Linked DNA regions of Ovis aries. The main gene of each other region encodes a partner of the protein of the gene in region 3 in a complex. Links are inferred from orthologs where the notes say so. Each region holds a gene or a part of one and is shown on either strand. Other genes may lie near its edges.

The links.
Region 1: EXOSC8 (region 3) and EXOSC4 share a complex: the UniProt entries of both Homo sapiens proteins name them as parts of the RNA exosome core complex. The link is inferred for Ovis aries from reciprocal best matches to the Homo sapiens genes EXOSC8 and EXOSC4.
Region 2: EXOSC8 (region 3) and EXOSC6 share a complex: the UniProt entries of both Homo sapiens proteins name them as parts of the RNA exosome core complex. The link is inferred for Ovis aries from reciprocal best matches to the Homo sapiens genes EXOSC8 and EXOSC6.
Region 4: EXOSC8 (region 3) and EXOSC5 share a complex: the UniProt entries of both Homo sapiens proteins name them as parts of the RNA exosome core complex. The link is inferred for Ovis aries from reciprocal best matches to the Homo sapiens genes EXOSC8 and EXOSC5.

The regions. Positions count from the first base shown.
Region 1 is NC_056062.1:13,709,306-13,714,265, reverse strand, and holds EXOSC4 (exosome complex component RRP41), read left to right. Parts: upstream 1-1,576; 5' UTR 1,577-1,635; coding exon 1,636-1,806; exon of another isoform or gene 1,807-2,754; coding exon 2,755-2,961; exon of another isoform or gene 2,962-2,984; intron 2,985-3,058; coding exon 3,059-3,418; 3' UTR 3,419-3,467; downstream 3,468-4,960. Other genes in the region: GPAA1 (glycosylphosphatidylinositol anchor attachment 1 protein), read left to right, coding at 4,751-4,824. UniProt on the Homo sapiens protein: Non-catalytic component of the RNA exosome complex which has 3'->5' exoribonuclease activity and participates in a multitude of cellular RNA processing and degradation events.
Region 2 is NC_056067.1:1,305,016-1,309,485, forward strand, and holds EXOSC6 (exosome complex component MTR3), read left to right. Parts: upstream 1-1,697; 5' UTR 1,698-1,740; coding exon 1,741-2,559; 3' UTR 2,560-2,977; downstream 2,978-4,470. UniProt on the Homo sapiens protein: Non-catalytic component of the RNA exosome complex which has 3'->5' exoribonuclease activity and participates in a multitude of cellular RNA processing and degradation events.
Region 3 is NC_056063.1:24,976,229-24,980,246, reverse strand, and holds part of EXOSC8 (exosome complex component RRP43), read left to right. Parts: intron 1-165; coding exon 166-239; intron 240-2,020; coding exon 2,021-2,066; intron 2,067-2,776; coding exon 2,777-2,882; intron 2,883-2,966; coding exon 2,967-3,012; intron 3,013-3,767; coding exon 3,768-3,864; intron 3,865-4,018. UniProt on the Homo sapiens protein: Non-catalytic component of the RNA exosome complex which has 3'->5' exoribonuclease activity and participates in a multitude of cellular RNA processing and degradation events.
Region 4 is NC_056067.1:50,092,147-50,097,451, reverse strand, and holds the start of EXOSC5 (exosome complex component RRP46), read left to right. Parts: upstream 1-1,512; 5' UTR 1,513-1,513; coding exon 1,514-1,847; intron 1,848-5,305. Other genes in the region: BCKDHA (2-oxoisovalerate dehydrogenase subunit alpha, mitochondrial), read right to left, coding at 1,094-1,201. UniProt on the Homo sapiens protein: Non-catalytic component of the RNA exosome complex which has 3'->5' exoribonuclease activity and participates in a multitude of cellular RNA processing and degradation events.

The sequences.
Region 1 (4,960 bases), on a different chromosome or scaffold from region 3:
GAAGGAGGAAGGCTTCACGACAATGCCAGTCATCGCCAGTCACCAATGACCACAGACAGGAAAGCCCCGAGTGCACACCGCCCTCAGCCCCAGTGAATGTCGCCTCCCTATAGTCAGTGTCACAGCCCTGCTGATTTATCCTTCCCTATTCAAACCTGAAGCATGGGATCTGGTTTCTAAGCACTGCAGAGGGGCTGAATAATGCCCTAAAGTTGTGTCTGACTCTTACAACCCCATGGGCTATAGCCCGCCAGTCTCCTCTGTCCATAAGATTCTCCAAGCAAGAAGACTGGAGTGGGTTGCCATTTCCTTCTCCAGGGGATCTTCCCAACCCAGGTCTCCTCCACTGCAGGTAGATTCTTTACCAGCCGAGCCACCAGAGAAGCCCGAATAATGCAAATGAGGAGGGTAATGAGCTCCCTGATGGTGACCTTGACCACCAAGCAAATGGTATCTGGAAACAGGAGGCAGCTGTGGAGGAAAACATCTCATCCCCCCTCCTGTGAGCCCCTCTGCTGTTCCAGGGCATTTGACATCAGGCCACGAAATGCAAGAGGAATGGCAGTAACCCTCTGAAGAGGGAAGGATTATGTAAAAAACTTTTAACATTTATTCCAGGTGGGAAAGGACGGAGAATCTAACTCCCACACAGCCTTCACTCAACCCCGGGACACACATCCACTGCCCACAATGGGGTGGTTGCTGGGTACATTCTACTTATTACTTGATACTCGTATCAACCAAAAAACTATGAGTTCCACAGGATTACTTGGACAGATTTTATATTTTTGAGTTAAATGCAAAAGTGTATGAAACAATCGCATTTTAAAAAATAAGAGTTCCAAAGGCCACTATATGGCTGTACATGTACAGCTGCATATACACGTGTCTGTGTGTGACCTGGATGTAATTATGAGTGTGAAGAAAAACGGAGCCATTTTTTAAGCTATAGTAGATAGGGGGATGAGTGCAGAGAAACAAGGCAACATGGAAAATTGAAACTAAAAAATTTGACCATGTGTACGTACAACATAAATGTGTCTGCTTTTTAAACGGACAAATGTAAAAACTAAACGGTTTAAAGAAAAAAAAAAAACAACTGCGAACAGAGAGTGTATCTCAGCTTGGGAGAAGGCCTGCATTTATGACCGCGGAAGAACTTAAGACCAGCAGTGGCGGCTATCGCCCGCAAACCTCGAGGGAGATACCAAGCGTCAAGCAGAAGTAAAGGAGCGCCAGCGGCGCGGGAAGCGCGGGGCTCAGTGGAGAGGCCGAGGGAGAGGCGGCGGCGCGGGGCGGGCAGGCCCGGATGGTAGAGGGAGCCGTCCCCATGACCAACCCGGGAAGAAACGACACGGCGACTCCACGTCCGGCATGCCTCCAGCCCTGCAGGCGCGAGTGCGTACCCCAAAAGGCCGCAAGGGTCCCTCCCCGGGCCCACAGCCGCAGTTCCGCAAGGACCGGAAATGAGATGTGGTGCCCTCGGGAACTCTGGGAGAATCGCAGGGGTCCGGAACCGGAAGTCGGAGTCGGTGCCCCGGAAACCGTAGTCCTGGGGAATCGGAAGTGGGGAGTCAATTCTACCGGGAAGTGTAGTTCTGCCGGGCGCTCAAGCCTGGCTAGCGCCCGGGCGGCATGGCTGGGCTGGAGCTCCTATCGGACCAGGGCTACCGAGTGGACGGGCGGCGCGCTGGGGAGCTGCGCAAGATCCAGGCGCGGATGGGTGTATTCGCGCAGGCCGACGGTTCGGCCTACATCGAACAGGGCAATACCAAGGCGCTGGCGGTGGTCTACGGGCCTCACGAGGCGAGTGGGCGCGCGCGAGCCGGGCTTCCTCCGGGGGTGGCCACTACGGGCTGTGAGGGGCTACCTGGCTGAGTAGAGGCCTCGGGGGTGAGGCTGGCGCGCGCCGCCTTGTGGGGCCGCGGCCAAAGTCCTAACAGTGTCTTGCACGACGGTCCCTGCCTTTCTCCAGCGCTCGCTACACCGCTTTGTTACTCCTAAAACCGCCAGGGCCGCTCTCACTGGCTCCCTCACCTCTCAGCTCCACTCCGACGTCACCTCTGGGTGACACCTCACCCCATCCCACCCCAGACCACCTTACCTACCCTTTACAAGTCAAGTTCCCTCCTTTACATCCACACACTTATCTGGTTTCCCGCACCCGCCTCCTCAGACATCAGTTTAACTTATTTCTCACTGTTTGTCTCCTCACTGGAACATAAACTCCGTGAAGACAGAGAGTGTTAATAAAACCGCTTGGGTTTATCACCACTCCAGCGCTGGAGACTTAAGGCCAGAGAGGTAGAAGTAAGCATGGCACTCTTGCAGAGCAGAAAGACTGGTGATGGGGAAGAGGGTGGTAATTCCAAATGAGACTGAGGGATTTCTAGGGAAGCAGGAACCCAGGACCTTTGTAAACAGGGAAAAGATTTAGGATTTTTATCTCACGCGTGATGGGAACTCTTTATAAGGTAAGCAGTATATGTATTGTGCAGAGGAGGTAGAATCAGACTTGATATATGTAAACAGATTCTCATACAAAGGAAGCATGGGGTCGAGAGAGGACGAGTCAAGAGGGGAAACAGGGAGGCCTGTCAGGAGAGAGATCCAGGGACGATGGTGGCTTAGAGCCTGGCCCAATGGCCCTCCCTCGGGCTGTGTTGTTTTGCAGGTAAAGTGGTTGCTTGTTGGGATGTTGGAGGTAGAGGGAGGAAGGGCCTGGCTCATGTGTTCTCCCCCACCCTACCCCAGATCAGAGGCTCCCGGGCACGAGCCCTGCCTGACCGGGCCCTGGTGAACTGTCAGTACAGTTCTGCAACCTTCAGCACAGGGGAGCGCAAGCGGCGGCCACACGGGGACCGCAAGTCCTGTGAGATGGGTCTGCACCTGCGTCAGACCTTCGAGGCAGCCATCCTTACACAGCTGCACCCACGCTCCCAGATTGACATCTATGTGCAGGTGAGCAGGCAGCAGCCCTCAGCCTGTGGAGGGGAGAGAGAAAGGAGGAGTTGGGGTTCAGCAGCTTGAAACTCATGCCACTGGGGGGTTCCTGCAGGTGCTGCAGGCAGACGGCGGGACCTACGCAGCTTGTGTGAATGCAGCCACGCTGGCAGTGTTGGACGCGGGGATACCCATGCGGGACTTTGTGTGTGCCTGCTCAGCTGGCTTTGTGGATGGAACAGCTTTGGCAGACCTCAGCCATGTGGAGGAAGCAGCTGGGGGCCCCCAGCTGGCCCTGGCCTTGCTACCAGCCTCAGGCCAGATTGCACTGCTTGAGATGGATGCCAGACTGCATGAGGACCACCTGGAGCAAGTGCTAGAGGCCGCTGCCCGGGCTTCCCGGGATGTACATACCGTACTGGACCGTGTGGTCCGGCAGCATGTACAAGAGGCCTCTGTCTTGCTGGGGGACTGAGCACAGGGCCACCCAAGCCCAGAATAAAACCTAAGCACCTTTCACTGTACTTTTATCTCTTCCCCACCGCACTTCCTTGCCCTTGGATCCTGGCCTGGTGCTGGCTCTAGCAATGACTAAGGGTCCGCCCCCAAGACATGCACTACACACCCCTTGCAGCCTCAGTGCTGCTCACCCTGCTCATCAGGGTGCTTCAGGTGAGCACCCTGAAGAAGGCGGATGTCCCTGGATGAAGTGAGCAGCCTGGGCCAAGAAGGGATTGCTGGGCAGTGAGACACAGCCTGGTATAACGAGCCATGCCCCACGACCATGGAGTCTGTCATTCTCATCCCAACACATCCAGAGTCCTGAGCACAAGTCCTGAGGGGTGGCTTTGGGTATTCACTATGGTCATGTGGGGGCCGTGTCCCACATCCTCTGGATTGTGGCTGGGACTGAAGGGTCTCTTGCCCTCTAGAAGCCTTTTGGGCCTGTCCTGCTACTTCCCTTGGGCTCCAAAAGTACAACAGACACATAATGTCACCTGGCGTCTTCTCAGTCCTGACCCTAAGACAGACACTGCCTGCTGCCCCACCACTGCACCTTCCTCTTTCAGGCTCCCCCTTCTTCCACCTCAGACTTGACTGAGCCCTCACCACCAGGCCCTGCAGCCTGAACCAAGGGGCTGCTCCTTCTCTAATATCCCAGGCACCTCCTGGCCCAGACAGGGGTGCTTCCCACTTTCTACTCAACACACCCCAGCTCCTTTGAAACCCCTTGGCCAGTAGTTTCATGCACCTTCTTCCCTGTGGTCATCGGACCCCAGTGATCTTGGTTCTGGACACATGCCTGATTCCACTCGGCTGGTTTTGGTTATTGACATCCATAGGAATGGACCCACCAACCCCTTGGCCTCTCTGCGGAAGCCCCCTCACATCCTACCACGGCTGTTAGACCGGTCAGTGCCAGTGGGAGCACCTTCAGAGATCTGGCGTCTGTGTTCTTATCGCCGCTTCCGCTTTTACTCCCAGCTGCCCTATTCATCACTCTTCTCTGATTCCAGTTGGAGCCGAGCTTTCTCGGGCGGCCGGTAGTCTTCATTGCCTCCGGTGCGGCACACTGCGGGTAGCCTACCTGGGGGCCGCTCTCTCTGGACGGGCTACAGGCTGGGGAAGCCGGACCCGGCTTCGCTCCCTCCACAGCGGTTCTGCTCTGGGCATGCGCAGCGGCGCGAGGGCCGTCGGGACCGGAAGTACGGGCGGGCGCGGAGCCCGGGTCTGACAGGAGCGGCGCGCGGGGTAGGCTGCCGTAACTGGCAGTGGGAGCGCTGTCCCGGAGCCGCCCGGCCCTGCCATGGGCCTCCTGTCGGACCCGGTGCGCCGGCGCGCCCTCGCCCGTCTCGTGCTGCGCCTCAACGCGCCGCTCTGGTGAGGGCGGGGCCCCGGGGTCAGAGGCCCCTCAGACCGCTCGCGCCCGTCCCCTCCCGCCCACTGGGATCAGTCGGGGCCTCAGGCTTGGGGCTCAGCTCTCCCGTCGGGCGTCCCGGGACTCAGTCCAGGTCCC
Region 2 (4,470 bases), on a different chromosome or scaffold from region 3:
CTGAAGGCCAGTGAGTGGGTGCAGCAGGTGTCAGGCCTGATGGATGGCAAAGGCGGTGGCAAAGACGTGTCTGCTCAGGCCACGGGCAAGAACGTGGGCTGCCTGCAGGAGGCGCTGCAGCTGGCCACCTCCTTTGCCCAGCTGCGCCTGGGAGACGTGAAGAACTGAGAGGGAAGGGCAGGTGCGCCAGGAGGCATCTCCCCCGCTCCCCGACCCAGGCACACCCATCCAGCCAGCTCTCCTTCCACCACAAGGACGTTTGAATCTTGAGACCTTTAAACAGTCCCATCTGTCCTAACCCAGCAGTAACCGGAACTTCACCTGAGAGCCAGCCTGTGACTCAACGCCCATGTTACATTTCTGCCCTGAGCACATCCGTGCCGTCCACCTAGAACTACTACCCCAGGATTGCTTTTTCATCATCACACTTGTGTCTGTAGAGAGTTCTTTGCAGACTCAGTGCTATGGGCCTCAAGGGAAGAATCATTTTCTGCTGCAGAGAATAAAAAGGCCATGTGCAATACTTGACAGGATACCGCCACGTGATTCTTTTACTCCTCCTCCCTTCTCACCCTCCCTCCTGTGATAACTTGTGCTTCCCTGGGTGTCTGTAGACTAGTGGCTGTGGTTCCAACTGGTTTCTGGTTGCGGCCCTTGCTGAGTCCAGCCCCAGACCCCTGAACTTTGAGAATAATGGTGCCTGGATTTGCGTCAAAACATCTATGGGGATGGCTCACAGAATAGGGTGATGAAGATGGTCCCTGGGGTTGCTGGCAGCGGAGAGCGTCTTCGTTTTTGGTGCTTTTTACAGAAGAACATTCTCGTTGATAAGTCTCCTATGTCTTTTCCTCTCCTGATGTACAGGTTGGATGTGAGGTCAGAGACATTCCTTGGTATAGGAGGTTTTTAGGGAACATCAGTTGCCTCCTCCCAACACCCTTGACTGCCAGGTCATTCCAGGTTTCAGGACCTAACTTGGACGGTGAAGATGGAGACTGACCTGGTTCTGTCCATTTACCCCAGCCTGAAGACAGCTGGGTGTGGGAGCTGTAGTGTGTAGTATTTAGTTGTGCCCTCTCTGGCTGACTTCAAGTCCCCTGGGTACAGCAGGCTGGCCCTGAATCATTCTCAGCCCTGCTGACTTGGAGGGAGCAGAAAAGCAGGTTTGTGCTGAGAGAAGAAGCAGAGACCACCAGTCACAAGGCCTGGGGGTGAAGAAGAGGAGAAACAGGAAGGGTGCTGAGGCCCTGGCTGCAAAAAAGCAAGCCAGGTGAGGAGTGTGAGGGATACAAAGCTCACACAGTCCGCAGCGCGGGAGCGAGTTCCAAAAGCACTCCACAAGCTGTGCCAGCCAGGGCGCAGTACCAAAGGGCCCTCTTGGACAAGGCGGCGGGGGAACATGTATACGGTTGTGTCACTAGTGTAGGACCGATTACAGCTTCACAAGTGAGAGGAAGAAGACCCACGCGCTGGGCTTGCGCTGGCGTGAAGGCTAGAGGTCAGCGGGGCCGGTCTAGACCCCACTTCTGCAGGCCCGTCTGATCCACCCATGCACCCAGCTCTGGCCGTCCTCGCGGTGGCCCGGGGCTCCGCGACGCGCACCGTCCCCCTCCGGGGCGGCAGGGGGCGGTGTGGCGCCAGCCGCTCTCCCGCGCACCCTCGCGCGGCCGGGCAGGCGGGCGGAAGCGCCGGCGCGCGGGGCCCCGCTGACCCGCGGAGCCGGCCGGCAGCAGCGCCGCCATGCCCGGGGACCACCGCCGCATCCGCGGGCCCGAGGAGTCGCAGCCGCCGCAGCTGTACGCGGCCGACGAGGGCGAGGCGCCGGCCCCTCGCGACCCGGCACGGCTGCGGCCGGTGTACGCGCGCGCCGGGCTGCTGAGCCAGGCCAAGGGCTCGGCCTACCTGGAGGCGGGCGGCACCAAGGTGCTGTGCGCCGTGTCGGGCCCGCGCCCGGCCGAGGGCGGTGAGCGCGGCGGCGGCCCGGCCGGGGCGGGCGGCGAGGCCCCCGCGGCGCTGCGCGGCCGCCTGCTCTGCGACTTCCGCCGCGCGCCCTTCTCGGGCCGCCGGCGCCGCGCCCCACCGGGCGGCGGCGAGGAGCGCGAGCTGGCGCTGGCGCTGCAGGAGGCGCTCGAGCCGGCCGTGCGCCTGGGCCGCTACCCGCGCGCGCAGCTGGAGGTGTCGGCGCTGCTGCTGGAGGACGGCGGCTCGGCGCTGGCCGCCGCGCTCACAGCCGCCGCGCTCGCCCTGGCCGACGCGGGCGTCGAGATGTACGACCTGGTGGTGGGCTGCGGCCTGAGCCGCGCGCCGGCGCCCGCGCCCGCCTGGCTGCTGGACCCCACGCTGCTGGAGGAGGAGCGCGCCGCCGCCGGCCTCACCGTGGCGCTCATGCCGGTGCTCAACCAGGTGGCTGGGCTGCTGGGCAGCGGGGAGGGCGGCCCGACCGAGAGCTGGGCGGAGGCCGTGCGCCTGGGGCTCGAGGGCTGCCAGCGCCTCTACCCCGTTCTCCAGCAGTGCTTGGTGCGGGCCGCCCGCCGGAGGGGTGCCGCTGCGCCCCTCTGAGCCAGAGACCCGAGCAACGACGGACGCCAAGGACCGACCCGCAGCTGCCGCCACAAGGACCCGCGCCGTCGGCCTGCAGATGCGTGCGCCGAGCTGAGAACCGGGAGCACCGCGGAGGATCTGCGGAGGCGTGCTCAGAATAGCCGTGTTGGAGCGATTCTTTCCAGACTGCTTCGTTAAAGAAACTTTTCTAATTGAGTTGACTCCCAGCCACGATCCAGTTGAAGAAACCTGCCAGCGCATCTTGACTCCTAAGTTGGAAAGGACTTCCGCTGTACTCATCGGGAAAATGATGCCTATGCAGGCCAGCCGGGGGCTCCCTCCTGAATAACTGGGCTGCTTTTGAGAGCGGGGACAAGGAGGCTGTGCCTTCCACGTATATCTGAACCCAAACAAAAACTCTTTTTATAATCTGAAACATTCTGTTGTTTTTGGTACCGACTTTAATGAATAAGGCTCTTCTGAGCTGGGGACTGTGTTCTCAGGGCTTGGGACAAGCATTATCTTTAATGTGTCCTGGGGTTGCTGGTCCACTAGTGAGAGGGCACTTGAACTGCCAGGAGTGAGAGTTTCTGGATGCTGGAGATGCCATTCTGTAGGGCAGAGCGGGTCTGTCTGACCAGGAGGGTGGGCTCTGCCCTGTGTGGCTCCTGAGCCCTGCAGGTTTGTGCTCAGGTCTGAGTTGGCGAAAGGGCCGCCTGGGGTCCTCCCTGCACCAGCTTGGTGTAACCTGAGCTTGTGTGTCTTAGGGGCCTGCTCAGCTGTAGGAAAGGCTGGCTCAGGCAGCTGAGAGACCAGAATGAGGCCTGGGGACCACACCAAGAATCCCTGACTAGGGGGAAAAATACAAATTTTATTTGACCCCAGTGACATAATATATATTTCCAAATCAGATCTGAAATACAGAATCACAGCAGAAAGAAACAAGATAGAAACAAAGTAAAAATGGTAACCCTGTGGACGCTCAAACAGGACTGGGGGCTTTGAGAGGGAAGAGAGCTGACGCTGCTCCGGGGGGGTGGGCATCCAGCTCCGCTTGCAGGAGCGGGCCTCAGCTCTATGAGATGGTGTGCTGGTGCCGGGCAGCTGCGGGCCGCCCCCTTCCCTGCAGCATCTAGACTGCCATCTGGACAAAGCTAAAACCAGCACTAGGGCCGGGTGCCTGGCTGGTCTGGCTGAGCCACGCCTCCATGTCCCTGGCTCCAGAATGGGTGGCGTGGGTGCTGCTGAGAGACCCTTGAGAAAACACTCAAGGCAAGGACGGTGCCTGGAGCTGATGGGCCTGGAGGGGTTCCAGCCTGCTACTGACAGCCCTGGTCTGACGCCTGATTCTTGACCTGTAGGAGAAGCAGAAGCAGGACCCTAGCACAGAGGGCCAAGCGCGGTGAGGCTGGCAAGGGGCCATCTACTTACAACTCCCAGCCTCCAACCCCCGTTTCCCTTTCCTGGCAGCTCTGGCATCTTGGTGTTACTGTAGATTCTTCCTGAGACCCGTGAACCCAGAACCACCAGACGCATGGCATTTTGTCCACTCAGCCCAGCTTTCCTAGATGTGATTCCATCTTGGGGACCAGTAAGGGTCCCCTGGCCCAACAGGCCGAGGGGCAGCCAGAGCTGGGCAAGTGGAAGAAAGGAAGCTCCTCCTGCTAACCCTACAGCAGCCCAGCCTTGCTGAGAGGGTCCTGACAACAGCGGGTGCTTGGCCCACTTCAGGGACCACCAATAGCGGCGGAGGCTATGATACAGTAGGGAACACTGGGGCTCTTGGAGGTGCACAGAAGGCTATTATCAGATCCAGGTTTGGATTTCTCAGTCCAGGAAGGTCCGTGTGCTTCGGCTTCCGTGGGGAGCACAGGACATTGCAAGGGAATTAAGGGGGGGGGGGAATAGGACAGGGCCCTATCTTCCAGA
Region 3 (4,018 bases):
GTATAAGTGGACCTGTATAGTTCAAGCCCATGTTGTTTAAGGGTCAACTATAATTTTACCAAGACTCAAGCAAGGAGTAAATTTTCACGGACATCTTAGATATTTAGAGATAAAAATCATACATAAAAGAAGAAAACATTTTCATTTTAAAAAAATACTTTTCAGGTTCGATTGGTACCGCAGATGGTTCTTCTTTAGTGAAGCTTGGAAATACTACAGTAATTTGTGGAATTAAAGCGGTAGGTTTAATATACTTACTACCAAGATTTGAGTTACTAAGTTAGCTTCATATACTTAGTAGATTATAATATACATCTATAATTCTACTGTTGATTGGGCAGTCAGGTGTTTTAGTATTTGTTTTCATTTCCCAAGTTTTAACCTTTGAGTTTTAGATAATACAACCCAAGTTTAATGACTTAATTATAATTTGTGAACATTTGCAAATCTGCTGAAACAATTTTTTAAAAAATCCTCACTGCCTTTAATTTTTAAAGAATTTGGCTGTAATTTGAGAAATTTTAAGGTATTTTTGGTGACATATTTTTATCCAGTGATGGCATTTAATCTGTGCAAATGTGTAGAAAATTGCTCAAAAGTTTGAGGGAGTAATAGCTACCGTTTACTGAGTACTTGCTGTTTCTAGCACCTTATGTTGGGTACTTTCAGAATTGCCCAGTTTAATCATGAGAAACGCTGGGCTAGAAGCAGCACAAGCTGGAATCATGATTGCCAGGAGAAATATCAATAACCTCAGATATGCAGATGACACCCCCCTTACGGCAGAAAGTGGAGAGGAACTAAAAGCCTCTTGATGAAAGTGAAAGAGGAGAGTGAAAAAGTTGGCTTAAAGCTCAACATTCAGAAAACAAAGATCATGGCATCTGGCCCCATCACTTCATGGGAACTAGATGGGGAAACAGTAGAAACAGTGTCAGACTTAATTTTTTGGGTCTCCAAAATCACTGCAGATGGTGATTGCAGCCATGAAATTAGAAGACACTTACTCCTTGGAAGGAAAGTTATGACAAACCTAAATAGCATATTAAAAAAGCAGAGACATTACTTTGCCAACAAAGGTCTGTCTAGTCAAAGCTATGGTTTTTCCAGTGGTCACGTATGGATGTGAGTTAGACTGTGAAGAAAGCTGAGAGCTGAAGAACTGATGCTTTTGAACTGTGGTGTTGGAGAAGACTCTTGAGAGTCCCTTGGACTGCAAGGAGATCCACCCAGTCCATCCTAAAGGAGATTAGTCCTGGGTATTCACTGGAAGGACTGATGCTGAAGCTGAAACTCCCAATACTTTGGCCACCTCAAGTGAAGAGTTGACTTATTGGAAAAGACCGTGATGCTGGGAGGGATTAGGGGCAGGAAGAGGAGAAGGGGACGACAGGGGATGAGATGGCTGGATGGCATCACCAACTTGTTGGACATCAGTTTGGGTAAACTCTGGGAGTTGGTGATGGACAGGGAGGCCTGGCATGCTGCAGTTCGTGGGGTCGCAGAGTCAGACACGACTGAGCAACTAACTGCACTGAATCCTCTGAAGAGTCACTGGAAATTTTTCTCTCCAAATACTTGAGTATAAGCTGACTCCAAAGTCTCTGCTTTGACTACACTGAGCTCTGAGTTAGTCTAAGCTGAGATTCTTCCTCAATAAATGGGGTGACATTTCATAAGACTTGCCAGTTTAGGGGCTTAATATTGTCTCGAGGTTGGGGTTTAAATTCAGATTCTTGGCTACTGAGTAAGGAGAAGAGTGGTGGGGCAGAACTTTTAAGAACCTCCGGTCATTTTGCAGAGGTGCACTAGTCAGCTTTGCCATACTGCCTTCTTGCCTTGCAGAGCTAGTGCGAGTGGTGCTGATGTCTCCAGAGCCCCTGACCCACCTTCCCAGGCACAGTGGATGCTCATGTTGCTAACTAGCTAAGATGGTCTTTGGTAGAGCCTTCCTTGACTGATTGCTGCCTTCACAATTCTCTAGTAGCTTCTTTCATAGGAAACGTTTGTATGCTTCTAGGAATTTGGAGCACCACCAACAGATGCCCCTGATAAAGGATATGTTGGTAAGTTAAACGGTTTTGTAATTTTTTAATAAATAATATTATAGTTAAATCTTAGTGGGTGAATTGAAAATTATTCAGAAGCTTCAGACAGTCCTGAAAAGTTTGATGTATGTTAGAAGATAGTGTAAATTAAGTTAAATAATCCTGTTAAATATTAAAATTGTTAAAAGAAGATAGTATAACAGCAAGGTACAGAATTTTTTAAATACCTTTGTCATACTTCTTTGACCAGTTTATACAGGTGTCATCAACCATCAGCCTTTGACTCTTAGGCAAAGGGCTGTAATTGCAAACTTCTATTTCCATAAACACTTCCTTTATACCACTATGATTTTCTTTTTCTTAATTTGGACCATCCTTTCTTTACAGTGGGAACCAGCATTTTAAAAATGCAGAACAGCTGGTATGATTAGTGAGGCTATATACTGTTACAGATTGGGGTACTTTGAAAGAAACCTAAAAACTTTTGTGAATAATTTACAATTGAAGGAAGTCTTAAATGCTTGGGGTGCTGTGTAGTGCTGTATTATTTTTGTGCAGAGAAAGTCAGAAAATATAAATTTTTATCTAAGCCTAAGATTTTCACGAAAAATGGAAAAGAATGTAATTGATGTGTTATATAATGCTTTCCACTTGCCTTTGTAGTGGATAACGCCTTTAAAACTAAGCCAAAGGTGAAATCTGGTTCACAGCTGCAGTGTTTCTTTCAGTTCCTAACGTGGACCTGTCACCTCTGTGTTCGTGGAGATTTCGGTCTGGCCCTCCTGGAGAAGAGGCCCAGGTGGCCAGCCAGTTCATCGCAGATGTCATTGAGAAGTAAGAGTATCATGATGAAGTCTGACTGTCATTCATTTTAGAGTTTTTGAACATTTGTTTACTGTGCTCTGTCTTTAAATCAAGTTCACAGATAATTCAGAAAGAAGATTTATGCATCTCTTCAGGAAAGGTAAGAGGGAGTAAAGAAGCTGTGAGTTTTTATTAATTCTGAAGTGTTTTTTGGGGTGGGGAAAATTTAAAAAACACACTAGGCTTAAATACAGATATCTTGTTTCTAGATGGAGTTGAAAAAAAAAAATCACTCCTACTCTGTAACTATCTAGATAAACTGTAGTTCACCAAAAAAACCCAGTAAATTTTGATTATATCTTCTTTTAAGCTTATGTAATCTTTTTGCAACTAATAATGCAGTCATTTAAAATTTTTTTCCAGCAGAAAGTTAGTATCTGATCAGCTAATGTGTTTAAGGTGAATCCACATTATAAATTTCAAGTCTGTTTGAAAACTTTGAACTACACTGACAAGTACCTAGAGGCTTTTCATGTTTGATTATATTGATTTATTAAGCAGTGTAAGACCTAAAAATTTCATGTATTAAGGTTTCTTTGGTAAAATACATCTTGAGTCTCATTTGGGCTTTTCAGAAGCAATTCCCTCATCTGCTAACTTAGCAGTAAGAATGGAAATTCCTCCTACATCTGTAGCTCCCTTGAGGGGAAATGGAGATGTTTACTTGTCAGCTTTTACCAAACTTTTAGAAGCCAGCTTTTACCCAACTTGCTCAGTTTTTTACTTTATAAAGGTGAATTTTTTCTCAAGTTTTTGCCTCAAAAGTTGATTGTTTAACCAAGGATGTGGTTTGTGAGTAGAAACAAATACCACTTTATACCCATCAGAAAGCTTTCTTTGTCAACTCTGTTTTAGCTTGCTTGGGTTTTGTACTGTGATCTCATTTGCCTCAACCACGATGGAAACATTTTGGATGCTTGTACCTTTGCTCTGTTAGCAGCTTTAAAAAATGGTAAGCAACTTTAATAAAAGGGAATATTCCTACTTACATGCTAGTGTTCCGTTTTGGTAAAATTTTCTAAAGGTTTTTGTGAGGATTTACCTATCCACGTTTCTAAATTAAAGAAAAACAATGTTTATATCCACCATATTTGCTTTAATTGTTC
Region 4 (5,305 bases), on a different chromosome or scaffold from region 3:
CCCTTGCCCAAAGCTACAGAGCTAGAAAAAGGCAGATTACAGAACACCGCCTCACATGATTTAGCACGAGCCAATCTTCTTAACCACTACTCTGTTATATGCAAAATCTCAGTTCACAGCTTTTCTCAAGTCCCCTGCCTCTGTCTCTCTAAATAGTGGTTCCCATCTACATTTCTGCTGTGCGAGCATGCCATTAGCAGCATCAATCTAAAAGGAGTCTGCTCCTTTTGACAAGAAACAAGGCATTTCTCCACTGTTTCTCAGAAATATGGAGTAAGTGCTCTGCCAGGACCTCTCCCCTCATTAGTTCAACAAATATTCACTGATCACCTCCGCCTTAGAGTGACCAAAACCAACAAGGTCCTTGGCTACCGTTCTATACCGGAGGCACAGGCGCCACGACTTTTTATAAGTATTTTATCTTTATTTATTTGGCTGCACTGGGTCTTGCAGTTATGGCATGCAGGATTTTTAGCTGCAGCATACGAACTCTTTAACTGCCGGCACGTGGGACCTAGTTCCCTGATCAGGGATGAAACCCAGGCCCCCTGCATTGGAAGCGCGGAGTCTCAGTCACTGGACCACCAGGGAAGTCCCAGAAAGATTTTTTTTTTAACGCAGTTTATTTAAAAATCAGAATTGGAGCAAAGAAACACGGGGCACCATAAAAGTCCCTGAAAGGGCAACTGATGTCTCTCTCCTCCTCCTTGAAAGTAGACCGTATTGAGAAGAAAGTCTTTCCCTTACAAACACAATTTTCTCCAGCTCCTGAGGGGAGAGGTCACACCCTTCTCCCGTATTCTCCAAGCGGCCTCCCCTGGGGATGGGCGGCAATTAAGTAACTACCTCGCTCTCTCCAAGTTTTCTCCCTCCCTTAGGGTCACAAAGGAGCTGCCTGGCTTTTCTTCTCCTAAGGAAGTGGAAGTTATTCCCTTGCATGTCCTGTCCAAGTGGTTCTCCCAGCCCTCGTCCTTTCTCTCACAGCCCTTCCTTCACTTCCTACAGGGACCTAAGGGAACCCCCTCTCTCTGAAGACTGCATAAACATTCCTATACCTCTTTCGAGAAAACTTTCAGGTGCTCCAGGTACTCACAGATCTAGCCAGCCCACGAGCCCCAAGCAGCCGCAGGAGCGGGAGGCCCGCCCGTCCCAAGCCTCGACTTGGTCTCCAAACCCTCGCCGCCGCAGCCGCCACCGCCATCTTGGCTGACCATCCCTCGGAGATCCGCCCCTCTCCTCGGCGAGACCGGGGCTGCCCCTTCATAAGCCTGACTCAAATGCCAGCAACACCCTGCCAAGAAACCATACGCTACTAGTTCTGCAGCCTCTGGGACACACATGTAGGTGCATAAAGCCACCTAACTTCCCAAAATTACTCTGACCGCCTCACGTTAGTTATTCCTGTAACCGGCAAAGAAGAGGACAACCCGTCCAGAGCCTCAGGGTTTCAGGGCCGGGGGCCTCGGGTAGGACGAGCTCATGCCAAGGCCCGCCCACTCTTCTCTTCTGTCCAATGGCTTTCCTGGACTTTCGAGGCGGGAGTGGGAGGGTCCAGATTGTTAGTAAACGCCGAGCCACGTGCGGGCGCCACTCCTGGAGCCCCCGGGTCGGCGCGTGCGTACAGCGTACGCACCTCGTACGCAAGCGCGCGCTTCTGGGAGGAAGCAACAAGCCCCGGCTGCACGTGGGCTCCGGGGCTATGGAGGGGGCAATGCAGACTGAATCGAAGATTCGGGCTGATTCTCGGACAGAGCCCGGCCCTAGGGGCCCCGGCTGTAGCCTCCGGCACTTTGCCTGCGAACAGAACTTGTTGTCCCGGCCTGATGGCTCTGCCTCTTTCCTGCAAGGTAGGAACTACTAGGTTGTATTATTTGGTGGGGCGGGGGGCGGTTACAATGTATCGCGCTAGCTGGTAAAAATCTCTCCTGAACTAGTGCAGTTCTTGCCTGGGTGGACACTACTGTATACGCAGGTAGACATATATCTCTCCCTCCAGACTAGCAAGGAGAAGATTGTTAAAGTACGCAGAATGGGAGAGGGCAGACCGCTTCTAAAGAATGAATACTCCAGAATAGGGGAAATATTCTTACCCCGGGGTCTCCCTTGACTGGATTCCTCTCCGGTTTCCCATACACGCACCCTGGGTCCATACATCCCAGGCTGAGGCAAACCTGTTTGTTTGCATAAATACCCAGTGGACTGTCAGATCACCACTTCTGGTGTACTCCCTAGCCCGGTGGCAGATCTTTTATCCAAATAGTTACTTCTCAGATGGATGGTGATGTCCCCAGCCCCACCTCTTGGGTAAATGTCCCTTTGGCTGGGATACACAACTCTGCTTATATCCCTAAGATTGGAGCAGTTCTTACCTATTAGGGAAATATCCCCTTTTCCTAGCTAAACAACTCTGAAACTAGACTCAGTTCCCTGACGCCTCTGAGGGAAATGTTCCTCTGGAGATAGGCCTAAGGGTCACCCCCATAAATGCTTCAGACCCTGCTCTAGGGCATTACCTGAAACCCAAATACAAAACCTGCTTTCATTCATTCTTTCATTGAACATGTACCTTTGCTTAGTATTGTTCTGGACACTGAGAATAAGTAAATAAATTTTTTAAAAATCCCTGCGGTAACGGATTTGACATTCTTACATTCTAGTCAGAGAGACAGGCAAAAGATAAGTAAAATATGTAGTAGAAAACAAGAAAAATACAGTAAGGGTGTAGATTGGGGTGTGCCAGAGAGGGTTGCAGTCTTAATTAGGATGGTCAGGAAAGGCATCAACTGAGATGGTACCTTTTGAATAAACACTTAAAGATGGGACTTTCCTGGTGATCCAGTGGCTAAGACTGAGCTCCCAATGCAGAGGGCCTGGGTTCAGTCCTTGGTAAGGGAACTAGATCCCACATGGTGCAACTAAGAGTTCGCATGCCCCAACTAAAGATCCTGCGTGTTGCAGTGAAGACCCAGTACAGCCAAATAAAAAAATTTTAAAGCAGTTTCTTTCCCTAAAATTGGCTTTTTGCAGGGGGAGCAAACCCTAAACAGATCAAGAGGAAAGCTTATGAAGCATTAGGAACCACAGGGCCCTGAGGCCAAAACTTGCCTGGTGTGTTTGAGGGACAGTCAGGGGGACGGGGTGCCTGCAGCGGTGACAGGAGGTGGGGTGGCGATAAGGAGACCTGCCCCTCATATAAAGTCTAGTGACTGAGAATGGAGACTTGTGACATGCTCTGAATATATATTTTTTTTATAGATTTTAGACTTTCTGGCTGCAGTGTTGATGGCAAAGGGCACGGGGGAAAGGAGAGGAGGGTGGTGCAGACCAGAGTGGAAGCAGTACAGGTGGTGAGAGTCTGAAGGCAAACTGATAAATTGCAGCTGGTTTGGTTTGGGGGTGTGACAGGGTCAGTTTTTTACCCAGACCAGCTGTGCTGGGAGACAATGAGTTCAGTTGGGAACATTACATTTGCAAGGCCTAATAGACTCTCCCATGGCAGTGTGGATTCGGCAGTCGGACATACAAGGCTGGAATTTGGGAGTCCTTTGGCAGTTCAAGCTACTGATTGGATAGAATCAACAAGAGAATCAATATAGGTGGAGAAGAGAACTTAGAACTTAGCCCTTTGCCTTCTAGCCTGGGTGGAGCTAGGAAAAGACATAGAGAAGGAGCAACTAGTAAGGTAGGAGAAAAACCAAGAGAGGGCAGCGACCTGGAGCCCAGAGAACGTGTCTGAAATGTAAGGACCAACCGTTTTGGTCCGGCTGAGAGACTGAATCGTGAGGATGGACTAGACCTGTGGGTTGACAACCTGGTTGTCTATTGTAGGTGGTGCAGCCAAGAGTCACTCTGGGACTTCCCTGGTTAAGATTCTGAGCTCGTAGTGCAGGGGACACAGGTTCGATCCCTGGTCCAGCAAGCTTCACATGCCTTGCATCACAGCTACTTGAGCCCACACACCCTAGAGCCTGTGCTCCACCACAAGAGAAGCCAGTGCAATAAGAAACCTACATATCACAACGAAGACCCAACGCACAGCCAAAAATAATAAGTAAAATGTAAAAAAGAAAAAGCTGTTCCGGTGGAGGGGTGGAGTCGAGGAAAAGAAAGAGACAGTGAGCAGAGACCGCTCTTCAGGAACTTTGCTGTAAAAGGATAAGATAGATGGGCGAGGAGTTAGATGGATGTGGGGTCCACAGGGGAGGGAATTGCTAGAGCCATGGCCTCAGGAAGATGAGAAGAGAGGCACTCTTGTGCCCAGGTGAAGCACAGACAGTGCCTTTGGAGTAACAGGAAGGAAGACCCCGGTGTGGATCTATTTCTGCTTGGACAATTTCCTCCTCCAGGGTCCATTCTCCTGGAGCCAAGAGAGCCCCTCAGTTGTATAGCAGCTCTTCCTCGCCAGCCCCAGAACAAAAAAGCCTCTGCCAGGGACCTCTCCAGGCTTAGATCTCTTGCTCAGTGCAGGTGCCTGGAGGTTCTTAGAATTTAAGAAATACTGAGCCCCTTGTGTGTTCTAAAAAAGAAAGAAATACTGAGCCCCTTGTATGTTCTAAAACCCCAAAGCCCAGGACCCTGGAGCAGGGTCCTCTGCAAACCCTCACTAGACTCTCCAGTGAGGTTAAAAATGCCAAGCCCCAGAACCCACCTATGCCAACTAAGGCTAGCCCTCTTTGTCCTTATTGATTAGTTGCTCAGTCGTGTCAGCCAGGCTTCTCTGCCCATAGGATTATCCCAGCAAGAATACTAGAACAGGTTGCCATTTCCTCCTCGAGAGGATCTTCCCAACCCAGGGATGCCAGCCCTCTGTATTTTTAAATGATCTGCTGTAGCGATTCTGGTTGCAGGCCTGTGTTTTGAAACCGTGCTGGAGCTCCATGTCTTCCCACTGCAGGTTGCAGGTCCAGCTGCACATTAGAATGGCCTGTTGGAGCTCTGAGGCTCCCAGTGCCTTAGCCTCAGCCCCCAGCAATGGGATTAAGGCTCTCTAGAGGAGGGGCCTGGGCATCTAGATCTTTCAAAGTTCTGCAGTAAGCCCAGTGTGCATACGGGGTTGAGAACCACTGTGTTCACTAGTGGGTTTTTGTTTTTGTTTCCATCTTATTTCTGTTCTTTGGTCAGGTCAGGTGTTAGCTGTGGTGCATGGACTTAGTTCCTCCACGGCATGTACAGGCTTAGTTGCCTGATCGGGGATCGAACCAGCATCCCCTGTATTGGAAGGTGGATTCTTAACCACTGGACCACCAGGCAAGTCCCCTTTAATGGTTCTTTGTAACTGAAATATAGTAGAAAATCTCCGAGTACG